Neodiprion lecontei: one gene and its partner. The protein of the gene in region 1 purifies or fractionates together with the protein of each later gene. This does not show direct contact. Links are inferred from orthologs where the notes say so. Each region holds a gene or a part of one and is shown in the gene's direction. Other genes may lie near its edges.

What was found. Proteins that work in one complex are often made in the same cells at the same time.
Region 2: the proteins of serine/threonine-protein phosphatase 2A 55 kDa regulatory subunit B beta isoform (region 1) and serine/threonine-protein phosphatase 2A catalytic subunit beta isoform purify together in Caenorhabditis elegans (affinity purification with western blotting; 3 studies listed by BioGRID, with this or other methods). This does not show direct contact. The link is inferred for Neodiprion lecontei from reciprocal best matches to the Caenorhabditis elegans genes sur-6 and let-92.

The regions. Positions count from the first base shown.
Region 1 is NC_060262.1:307,283-312,286, reverse strand, and holds the start of serine/threonine-protein phosphatase 2A 55 kDa regulatory subunit B beta isoform, read left to right. Parts: upstream 1-1,916; 5' UTR 1,917-1,974; coding exon 1,975-2,113; intron 2,114-2,530; exon of another isoform or gene 2,531-3,120; coding exon of another isoform or gene 3,121-3,220; intron 3,221-4,914; exon of another isoform or gene 4,915-5,004. UniProt on the Caenorhabditis elegans protein: Probable regulatory subunit of serine/threonine phosphatase let-92.
Region 2 is NC_060262.1:7,959,823-7,967,825, forward strand, and holds serine/threonine-protein phosphatase 2A catalytic subunit beta isoform, read left to right. Parts: upstream 1-1,946; 5' UTR 1,947-2,114; coding exon 2,115-2,222; intron 2,223-5,266; coding exon 5,267-5,476; intron 5,477-5,984; coding exon 5,985-6,248; intron 6,249-6,345; coding exon 6,346-6,518; intron 6,519-7,251; coding exon 7,252-7,359; intron 7,360-7,657; coding exon 7,658-7,730; 3' UTR 7,731-7,771; downstream 7,772-8,003.

The DNA.
Region 1 (5,004 bases):
GATATTTGCCCCACGTACGTTGCGCTTATGCCCTTTTAACGTTTTTGTGTACTACGGGAAAATTATTATCGGCAAATACGTATACACGTAGGTTATTTATACAATCTTTGAGATTGCGATTGCCTATGCACAGGCGAATCATGGACAAATTAGCCTATACGTAGGCAATTTGTACGATTCACGCGATCGCAGTTGCCTGCGCACAGGTGGCTTTCGCCTTCCCATTCTACGGTGTATGTAAGCGTGGGCGAAAAACTGTCGGTAATGTGGTAAATTATTGTACAATATTGACAAAATTTATACACGTTGTCGTTGATTTTTGTCACAGGCACGATATAAGCGGAGAATAGTGCCGACCGGAAAGGGGAAAATTCCTCCCACGGAGGGACGGAGAGATCCGATTGTTTCAAGACGCGTCACGCGGGCGTTGTCGGCCTTTGGGGGGCCCCGCCGCAGCGGCCCCCCAGCACAGGGCCGAATACGAATTGTCGGAGCGGAGCCTTGATCGGTAGATCGAAGACCGCACCGGTCACAGCGATACCGCCTTCGTCCAAACACAACATGAAGAACCCTTCGGGAATTATGAGACAGTCGAGCCTCACGAAGCTTGGCTCGATGATTAACACGGCTGTGAATAAAAGGAGTGGTAAGTAAGCCATCGTGCGTAATTTTTTCGATACCTTCTATTCGCTCTTTTTTTCTTTTCCTCCGTCGATAACGATTATACCGCGGTACGCAACGTCAACTTCGGTTGTCTACTGCTTAGGCGTTGTCACGAGATCATTTATTATTATCACTTGCGCTCTCGGTTACGCGTTTTATTACGTGAGGCGAGTACGATCCGTGATAATTAATACGTATACATAGATTAAATTTACCGGCAGATAATGCTTGGATAAGTATCGTCAATTCGGCGTGCGTAGTCGAATTATTGTTAGTTAAAATATGGGATGCCAGATCGGCATCATGTAACGTAAGTTGCCTACGAGCAGGCGAGGCACTGCGTCACGCATCAATTATACCTATGAAACGTAACCGCGAATACATAATACTTATAATTACATGCTCGTTTCGTTTGTCATATAACGCACGCGTGCGTGCGTGTGTTTTTTTTTTTTTTTTTTATGAACTTACGTTTGTGCGGATCAAAAGCTTAAGACTTTTCGAGTCGAGTTTTTGTGGATGCGCAACAGGGGTCCCCTAATTATGGGCAATTCAGGATACAAGTCCACTCTGTGAGCAGATCCGAGTTTCGCATCAGCCACGTGCTAAAAACTGAACAGCAGAGTTGCTCAGAGTCGATCTCATGGTGCGCATTCACGAAAACGCACGATATACGAATACGTCGGAGACCTTGTATGGATATCCTGTTAGCACGATTGCACCTAGTGACCACTGTGTGTTTACATTTTGTCCCGGTTTTAACACGTTTCAAATGAAATATCGAACGTATATAACGTATTGCGTGCACGAGCGCGTGCATATGTGTGTATGTACGCACGCATCTGTATAGATACTATAATTCAATCGTAGGTATAAAAAAAAATTAAAGATAATTTTCAAGTAGACCGCGAAGAGGCGGAAATACTTTGGAATATCGCGTAGCAAACTTTACTCGGTCCGCAATTTCTCCACTCGTCGGAGTAAATTCTTAGTGTCACTTACATCATGTAATCACACGTATAGTACATATTTCTCAGTTGGTATAAGAATGAAGATTGAGTCGCCCTCTCGAAAGCGAAAAATTGTTGTTATCGTCACTATTGTGTTGATATTGTCATGTTCAATTTGCCTGAAAGTTCAGGACTTATGTATACACATACGTTGTCTGTCCTGGCGGCGTGTATTACTGCTATTATCATGTATATGTATGTGTATAATATGTCGGAAACCATAGCCTTTGAGACTCTCGTAAGGTCAAATCGCGTGCGCTGACTCTGATCGCGGTTTCAGAACGTGTTCTCGGTGGTAAAGATGAACACTAGAGGCCGTTTAAGATCCGTTTCAGTAGATCATTCTAATTGTTGTGACAACGTAAGTGCGGGAGCTTCGTTCAACCGTGGACCACCAATTAAAAATCCAAAGATTTCACATGACACCGAGAGAAATTTTCGTGAGTAGTTGTAACTATTATAACAGTGTACGAATCAGGATGCTTGTCTTTTTTTTCTCTCCCTCCCTACTACTTTTACATTCTTAACACGAAGGCGTTCGATTTGGAAGGGTTTCAAATTTTTCTCATTAAATTTGTTCGAAAGTTTATAAATTATCGTGTTCGACGACACCTTATCGGTATAACATAAATGATCTCCTATGTGATTTCGTATTTCGTTTTCTAACTACTCGTCTATACGCCAACTGGGAATAGCTTGGTTCGAGGCATAGGTAGGTAGGTATACATATAAGGTAAATAAATAACATGGAACATGGTTCGACGCTAAGTCGCGCCAAGTCTTGTTGTTAGAGCTTTGATAATTAGCTGATATTTGCTAATTTCTTCGGTAACGTAAGCGCCTCTACCGATCCGCAACTCGAGACAGATCGTGCCTGGGTTACCAGTCGGTCCCTGGACCAGATCCATAATTTCACGAACATCAGTCGAAAACTGCCCGTAAAAGAAAAATCATATACCGTAAATTATAAACTAGAAACTTGTCGAATGAATATAGAAGAAATTTAATAATGATATTAATAATTGTTATTTGACGTGGGTGGTAACGATCTCAACTAGTGATATATTATATGTAGTACATAGACAAATGTAGGAGGTAAAAGTGTTCGAAACGCATTCGTATTTTTATTGTACTCGAACAGTTTCGACGAATGGAATTGTCATCCCCTTGAAAATTGGTTATATTTATACACGCAGGACAATACACGATAAATAAGATATTTATGTGTTGTATATGATGCATCTGCCAATGTTCGTAGCACGTGTTAAAAGACAATTTTTCATAAAAGTGCTAAATTATCACAATGTAAAGTGAAAGTTTTTCACATTCAAAAAAGTTCTGCTGACGCGTGAAAAACTTGTAAACAAATTAGAAAAGAGAAAATTGGTTTTCTTGGAATAATTCAGCGATAATAAACGTATCATACTGTTATTCACACATAAAAGTCATGGAAAGTTTTCCGCACGGTCTGAAAGCTCCGCTAACAAGAAATGGTCCGTTATTTTCATCCCTGGAGGAGTTACACGAAAAATTGACACAGTTGTTAGGTTTGTCACTTATATACCTACAGTTTTCTTCGTATAACTGATTCATCAACTGCTTCTTTTGCATCATTACTATAGTTATTATTATTGTGTATTCAGAAATGTTGCGTGACAAAACGATCGGTGAGAATACAGGAATATAAATCAAAGATGTCAGGTCTAAGAATTATTTTATTTCTGGTAAATATTAGCATTGTACAGTTAGCTGTGAGCAGTGCAGTCGAAACAAGGAAATTATGACCTGTAATTAATGGTTTATAAGGTTCGTCTATAACGAATCGAGTTCCATTTTACTGAACAACATGTTATCATAATTTAAGGTTGTTCGGACATTAGAGCAATGTAACGATAAAAAACTGAATTAATATGTTATTAATTGGTAGTAAATACTTATAAAATAATTTTCTGAAAAAGATCTGACGTGTAGTTTTTGTGTAATTAATTATTAAAAATTAGATATTTACCATGAAGTTAATATGGAATCTTGTTTAAAATGCACATTATTGATACAATTTGACCACAACTGCTAAATATAACAATACAATAAATTGTAATTTATATTAATCTCCTCTCGTTGATTGCGCAAAAAATATACAAAACGTATACTGGCGTGGATTTTGGTAAATATTTTAATCTAAATAATCGAAAATTCACGACAATATCAGTCATACTTGAATGACATATCTGAATCGTAAAACTGTGGTAACGTTGGATAAAAAAACGTGCCAATTTTTAAATTCAATCATTCAATCATGTGTTTTGTACCATTTTATAAATTTTTACCATTACAAATCGTCCGTTGCGTCGAAATTAAGTTGTTTCATTATTCATTCACACTAGCAACAATAATGTATAGCAGTTAGATGCACTGTTGCCGGATTTATTTTATACGGAAAAATATCGAGTCAAAAGACATTTATTTAACATGTATATTTAAGTTATTAACTTACATGTTCCAATTTTTTATTTAATAGAAAAAAAATCTACATTTTATTATGACTTACGAGATACTGTCCCAACAACCTTAAATTATAGCTTTCGAACCATTCGTTTGATAATATTGTTAGTTTCGTCAGGTCGGACAGGTTGCATTCATGGCGAAGTTGACGGAAGAATTTCAAAACTTTTACCCCTGGAAGCATCTTTTTATCTATTAAACTACTTTCTTGGTAAAAACTACAGAGTTTTTTGGATCCACATCGTCCCTGAAATATTTTTAGGTCTAATAAAGATATAAAATTCATTTATTTATGCATTGGAGAAATCGAAGGTGTAAGGAAGCGAATGAAATTTGTATTTTTTTCACGAAAAACAGCATTTTTTGCTAATCCATCATGAGAATTCGATTGCCAATTTTAGTCCAAACTTAATATACGTAAAGAAAAAAATGTCGTATGTTTGCCCGCCACCTTAGATCTGGCATATTGAATTTTCGAATTTCAAGTTCATATTCGTAATCAGCGACCCCAAAAGCACATGTGTGCAAAATTTCGAGTGAATCGAATGTAAGGAAAAATGTAGGCATGAAAGGGTTAACAGTCTTCGGTAAACGGTGGCGATAACGCGCATTCGGTTCGAAAAGCGCGGGCTGACGGAACCTCGTGAAAGTTCGTGAAAGTTCGCGTGAAAAAAGTGAGGATGAGAAGATGGCGCGAGTGGTCGAAGAACACTGTGGTTTGGCCCGTGGCAGCAACAGCAACAGCAGCAGCAGCGGCGGCGGCCGAGGAACGAATAGAACGAAGGAACGAATCAAAGGTGGCGTGACGTCATCGTACGTACCGATAGTT
Region 2 (8,003 bases), about 7.7 Mb from region 1:
CACATGGGATGTCAATTTTTATGTTCCCCCGTGTTGCGGTAATCAATATATCTACAGCCGAAAATTCTTGAAAATATTCACTACTGCATGATGAGATTTACAACTTGGTCGTTCGAATAACAGTTCTATGGTTATTTATCGAATAGGTATTTACAGCCTCTGTAAACTGGTTGATATACCCACGTATTGCTTCTATAATACCTGGCGGACATGATATTTGTGGTTTTCAGAATTTTTTACGATATCTGTAACTAATCGCCTTGCCACTAATTCGAAATAATTACTGCAGAAAAAAGAAAACCACCTAGCACACGAGAAAACAATAAAACGTACAGGTTCGTTTTGACGTTAACCAATCAGAATTTTACAAGAAAACCGATTACTATTATTTTGAAAATTCATCAATCAATTTGGTTTCTTGCCATTTCTTTCAGATTGGATTGTAACGGAATTTTAATTTTACTCGTCATGTGATATACAAATTCGGTAGGCCAATCCATTTCTATTCCATTTTACATGCAAATTGAAATTTACCTCAAATGAAGATGATTACGAAGATTAGTGCTTTTATAATTTTCTATTGGTTGCTTTCTTTTTTCAAACCTCGTCAATCCATGAAGAAAGATTCCAAACATTTGCACAGGTCGATTCAGATTGATTTCCTCATTACGCAATACGTTTTTTTTTAAATTTCAAATTGGCAGACATCAATATGAATCTGTTTTAATACGTTTCAATATTTTTTAATTTATTGGATAATCGCTTGTAGAAACTTCGGAACTGATATTTTTATTCTCTATAATAACGTATGTTATGTTGAACTATCTATCCAACTTTGATTACAACCGCCATCAATTCGGATTTTTTTTAACTGCTCGTGAAGTAGTCAAAGATTGCCAATGATTTCTGAATGAACGGAATCAACTGATGAAGAGTTATAAGAAAAAATAATGAAAAAAATAAACCGCAATGTAGGCATTCCATAGATCCTCGATCCTACATATCCAATTCTGCAATTGAATATGACTGTATAATTTTTAATTCTTAGAGTTGTTCATGTTAAATAAATGAGACATTACATTTATATGGTCAAAACATTTATATAGCCGTTTTATACATATGTAAAAATAATGCAAATTTCTGAATCTTTTAGCTGTAAGTATGATCAAACTTTTTTAAATTTTCTACTGCGCTACCCAGGCAAGATCAAGCGTAGCATTATTTGAAACTTGTACAGTTCATCGTAACATCAAGTAACCATATTATGACTACGGGCAAGCAATTGTGACGATGGCGTTTTATCGAACATAATTGTCTTAAAATTTAAATTCAATTACGAAAAACGTAAAAATACCAATTGAGGCAGCACCAACTGCGATCAGCATATGCAGACGCGAGCCGGCATCACATGTTTACAGGTAAGTGTATAACCAGATAAATAATGTTCTAGGAAATGATATACAATCATATACACAGGTTACCAGATGGAAATTCAGTTGTAATTCATTACAGAACGTGTTAAATATTTTCGCGGAAGCAGTTTCGTAGTCCAATTCCATATCGTGTCAAAATTGATTTCAAATTCTCCCGCGACAGGTAGTCATAATAGTATCTAAACGACACACCCCATCGAACCGTTGCAGAGTTGAAGCTCCGCCAATAGCTGACAGACCAAAATGAAAAGTAGTTTCATTAATTTTCATAGACTCTGATCATAAGTTGACGGATATCGGTACTTCCCTCGATTTAATTACAATAATTAAGGGCAAAAGAAATGATCGTGACACTTACTGCAAAGTTTCGCCACAAGAGTATACTTTGAATCCGATTGGCGGGCCGAAATAAAAATGCTTTACGATTGGCCAGAGCGAGACAGCCTAGTCGATCCAAACCGAATCTCGGCGAGCGATGCCGAGCGGAAGAATTTAAACGTGACGTCACCCGATCATCACTATTTGTCGGCCATTTTGTGAGTGTGTGGTTGATTGAGATATTTGTGTTGAAATAATACCGGAGCGAAATCGAATGGATTTAGTTTATTGATAAGATAGTTTCCCGTTGCGTTACATGTGCTAAGTGTCAACCGGGTATTGAACATTGCTTAGATCCAAACGATGGAGGAGAAGGCAGTGACGTCTCTGAAAGAGCTTGACCAATGGATCGAACAGTTGAACGAGTGCAAACAACTGACAGAAAGTCAAGTTAAAACTTTGTGCGAAAAGGTGAGCTGGCCGGAGATTTTTCACCCCAAGTTCCTTCATTTCCCCGTTGACTTTCCTAACTTCTTTCCTCCCTGCCGACAATCTGCATCTCTATCCACGCCTATCGCGCCTCGACATCGCCTCCCGGCTAAAAAACCTTATCCAGCATTTTATTCGGTACACAACCCTCGCTTCTCCAAACATTTCACACCAAATCCTTTCTATCACCGATCGTCCCACGTCTTCTTAGGCGTATACGATTGGCCGATATGTCATCGAAAATTGATAGTCACTCACCTTGAATTACGGCTAACGACCAACGTCCCCCGTTCGCCGAGCTCGAATACACGGCGGATAAAATTATCCAACGATTAACCACGCCGCCGTTTGTTTTACACGGAATCGGATTAACTTCCACACCGCGAATTTTTTCCTCTTACTCGCTGCTCATTTTCCCTGTAAACCACATGTTATATTCCGCACACTGTAATAACGAGTAATTTTGTTTTAAACGATTTTATTATTTCTCTATGTATATTTTATGTACTGACGATTTTTTATTACACTTTTTATCATTTGTTTGTCGAATAACACATCGAACTACGTCATTCTGCGATGTCGCGATAAATTTTAAACAAATAGTAATGAATTCAACTTCGTTTCACGCTTCCAATAGTTTAACTTATTTTTAGCATTAGTAGATTAGCAGTAGAGGATTACATATTCGGTATTTCGTACGTCGGGCAATATTTTCTCTGGAATAGCAGATCTACGAAGAACATTCCTGCAATACAATTTCATCAACGCCTGTTACTAATATTTTATTCTACACAATCTTTCAAAGGTCGGTATCTGTGAAACCCTTCTGCTCACAGCTGACAACAGTCAAAATAAATGCGAATACTTTGACGTTTTAATACCCACGCTGTGCTCAGAAGATATTTGATACCTTGGATACGATTATTTTAGGTCAAATCCATAGTACGCTCCACTGTGATCATTTAAATACCGATTGGGCCGTTTTGAATAATATTATTACGTACTTGAGGACGAAAGACTTTATAGCAAATAAAATAAGAATTATTTGTATTATTCCTTTTCCAAATTCATGGGATACTTACTGTGTTACAACATTCAGATATTCCACTGTTTCTTATTGTCTAACTGCGGAAAAATTCCGATATTTTTCAACCCTAATAGTCATTAGTTAATTTTGTACTCGTAAACACTCAGGGACAGTAGATTATTAGTTCGAAAGTCTAAATAATCAAAGAATTCTTATTAGACAAGAATGATAGAAATCATTTGTAATCGTTACCTGTTGAAAATGGTCTTATGTAATTAATAATCCTCATTCTAGAGTCCTTATAAATTTCAGGAAAATCTTTGAACTTTCAGAAACAAATCTTATTGAATACCTTGTTTCATAATTAAGTAACATGTTTTTCGAATCAAGTTCAAGGTTTATTAGAACTATTTTATAGTATTAAGGTTCGTAGAACAAACAGCATTCAACAGAGTTAATGCTGAAAAATATTACATCATGACCCTAAAATTTAAAAAGAATTTAATGCCAATGAAGGTCAATTCAGATTTGTTCACATTTTTTTATCATGCCAGCGAACTTTTCAGCTAGCTCCGACAAGTTTTATAAAATTTCAATGTTCTTGCTAGAAGTTTCAAAAATATCTCTACTTTTTTTATTAAAAATATTTATTTAATTCACTATATTTCAGACAAATCTAAAGCTGTGACATGATGATTTTTCCAGGAAAATGGATCATGACCTGAACGTTACAAACTTTCACCTTATCATTCTTTGTACATTAAAAATTGATCTTGTGAAATGAAGAATCTTTTCCTGCAAACACGAAATAAGTAAACAAGTTGTATGGCCTTGCTGAACCACTTTGATAACTTCGAATTCTGTAGTGATAGGTATTTAACAGATTATCAAATGTCCAGAATGCAGTGTTGAGATAATTTGAAGAAGTGACTCAACTATTATGACAGAAAGAAATTTTTCTCATCGCTCAACTCTTTAGTTATAACTCGGTTCAATTCCAGAACCGGATTTAACGTATGTTTTACGATCATCCAAAACAAGTTTTACTTGGAATTCAGTGGACTGGTATATAATATGTCATAAACTTTGAGAATTAGAGAAAATATCCAGATCTAATCATGTTGATATTAGTTTCTAAAGATATTACATTTTCGTGACGATGATTGTTGTATAAACATAACCAAACAACAGTTCGTTAAAACAGTAAAATGATAAGTTCCTGAGCTTTGGTTGGTCATAAAAACGCCTCTCTTTGTTAGATAAAATTTGAATTTTTCATTAAAAGAAAACTACGACATGGGTAAAACTGTGTGATTTCCCACTTTTTGCAATTAATAATTGTTGACCTTTTTAATAATTCCACCAAATATTGTGTAGAAATATGTTTCGAATTTTGAAAGTATAGTTTCACATCAAACCTTACTTGTTTGAGGGTTTATTTGGCTGAAGATTATTAAACTCGATCGGTAATGTGAGCTGCTTCGCAAGTTGTTCTATACTGTTTATGCTTTTTATAGCAGCACTGTAAGCATAAGCGTAAGCTACAAAAACAAACTTGTTGGAACTTTGGAATTTAAAACATTTTTATGTTAATGATCAGCTAGTGATAGATCGGCATCTTGTAATAATGTCAACTTGGCCATAGTTGCAGTATTTCTACAATGCCTGCAGTTTTTTATTATCGCAGGAGTATTTGTTTTTAAACTCTAGAAAAAAAATCAGTCAGAAATTTTATATGTACTATTCGAAGTGAACATTGATAGACTCCACATAATAAGGGGGAAAATTGAAAACTTCCACTTGCCTGTTGTATTTTCAAACTTGGAGCAGTTTTGTACATATTTTTTTTTCTCTTGCAAATTCAAAATCTATCATCCAGAGTTTACGTTATATTATTAAAACATACTCGAGTCATGACATAATGAAGCGTGTTTATAATAATGACTATGCAAGCATGTAAACATTGGAGAATAATTTGAGTCTGTTTTTTAATTTTCAGGCAAAAGAAATATTGGCCAAGGAGTCGAATGTTCAGGAGGTAAAATGTCCTGTGACGGTATGCGGAGATGTTCACGGACAGTTTCACGACCTGATGGAGCTGTTCCGAATAGGTGGCAAATCACCTGATACAAATTATCTCTTCATGGGGGATTACGTCGATCGTGGATATTATTCTGTTGAGACCGTTACTCTCCTTGTTGCGCTCAAGGTACGAGATCACCAGACATTCATTAGACGAGTTTGAGAAATATATTCATAATAATGAATGGTGGAGTGCAGTTTCGATCATAAAACTATATGATAAAGAAAGAAAACATAGTAAAACAAACAACACTCAGTATTTCCATGATGAGCACTTTGATCCAAGCAGTGTGAATTTAAGGTGAAATTGTTAAACAGTAACGAATCACTTCAACAATTTATTTGAGAAGATATTTTCTGTTTGCGCTTAGTTGTAATTAGCAATAAGCCTTGGTAAAAAATGCAGAAAAGAGTATTTTGATACTTCAATATTAAAAAGTAACCAGATTTTTTTTTTTGAGATTTATACACTAGTAATCTTTCTTAAGACTAAAGAAGTGAAAATCTGGTAACATCAAGGTAACATCAAAGTTTAAAAACTGTTCGATTAATCTTTGTGATTATAATTGTTATTGTGTTGTGATTATGGTAAAAAGCAAAGTAATAATTCCAAGATTGTGTAAACCATTTAACAGGTGAGGTATCGAGAAAGAATAACGATTTTGCGTGGTAATCACGAGTCTAGACAGATTACACAGGTTTACGGATTTTATGACGAGTGTCTGCGCAAGTATGGAAATGCGAATGTATGGAAATTCTTTACCGATCTGTTTGACTATCTGCCACTCACCGCATTGGTCGATGGTCAGATATTCTGTCTTCATGGAGGGTTATCACCTTCCATCGATACTCTCGATCACATCAGAGCATTGGATCGTCTTCAAGAAGTTCCGCATGAGGTTTGTACTGATATACTGTTCCATTTGGAGCCTTTTTATAATAACAACAGTATCAAATTCTGGTAATAAAAAATGGAAAAAAAATCATGATTTCCAGGGTCCAATGTGCGATCTACTCTGGTCAGACCCCGATGACAGAGGAGGATGGGGTATCTCGCCTCGTGGAGCAGGATACACCTTTGGCCAAGACATTTCTGAGACGTTCAATCACTCTAATGGTCTAACTCTTGTATCGCGAGCTCATCAGCTGGTAATGGAAGGATATAATTGGTGAGTTTCCTTTTGTAGCTAACAATAAGTTCTGTCTCCACATTAACCACATTAGCAATTCGACAAATTATACATGGAATAATAAATTGAGAGCAGTTCATCGGTTGGGAAACTTTCAATAAAAAAATTCATTCTTAAATAATAACTGAACTGTATGAATATACATCACATATTTTTCCAGGGTTCGTATGCACAGGGAAAACCGAAAAAACTCGGGGAATTTCTTACAGCAGGGAAAAGTCAGGGAGTTTTCAAAATATCACTGGAATTTTGAGTCTGTCGAAGAAATGAACTTGTTGTTATACAAAGTAGTATCGTACTTAAGAAAAAGAAAGTTGCACTCAAAATTTTTTTTCTTGCATCACTATACATTGTACATACCTCCTTACTTAGTACCAAACTATCTTTCGTTTGCTTGTTATGAAAACTCGCCGGCTGTTGTGTGTAAATTGATAGAGTTATTAGATAAACATAGTTACTAGGTAATATTGAAGGTATTAGTTTGAATGTAAAAAAAAATTGTCAGCAATCGGCGGCATATTTTTTGAAGGTTGCTGGAAAATTTCGATTTTCAGGCTGGAATACCTGTAAAAGTCAGGGGATTTCAATTTCCAAAAAATATACGAACCCTGCTTTAGTTGATAAGATGTTTCTCTGATTGTTGAATATCACTTTTGTTATTTCTACTAACCAATTTGTGATTATTTAATAATCTATAAAATTTTTCTTCCAGGTGTCACGATCGTAATGTTGTGACTATTTTTTCGGCGCCCAACTATTGCTATCGCTGCGGAAATCAAGCGGCGATTATGGAACTGGATGATGCATTGAAATATTCATTGTGAGTATAAGAGTTATGTAAAGTAACACTGCTGTAAAAGAATTTATTTCTAGAATGAAAATATTATCACTTTTTTTACGATTGCCATACTAGTTAGAAGATTCTAAAAAAAATTGAATTGGCTTGTATACAAGGTTTACCAGCATTTCAATAACAAAAAGAAACTTTCTCATTGAAAGTTATGGAAAAATCTGGAGAATTTATTTTGCAGTTGGGGTCGATAGCTTCGAGAGTAAACTCTTGACATATTGGAAATGCAAAAAGAATATGTAATAAAATATAAATTTCTTTGTTACAGCCTTCAGTTTGATCCAGCACCGAGACGCGGTGAGCCGCACGTTACTAGGCGGACGCCAGACTACTTCCTCTAAAGAAATTATAAAAAAAGAAAAAAACAGCCAAACACAAAAAGGAATGGAAAAGATAGAGCAGGAAATAATTCACGACAAACTGGAGGTAGTTGTTAAGGTAGGAGAACAGAATGGATTTGGCTTTATAAATATGCCAAGAACCCTAACATAACTTTATAATAGGAAGATCGGTGTGACTGTAGGGCTTTTGGAGCAAACCTTACATGCCATGTATAATGTCGCGTATTACCTATGTTACAGTCTTTTCAAAGTATCTCACACTTACGAAATGCG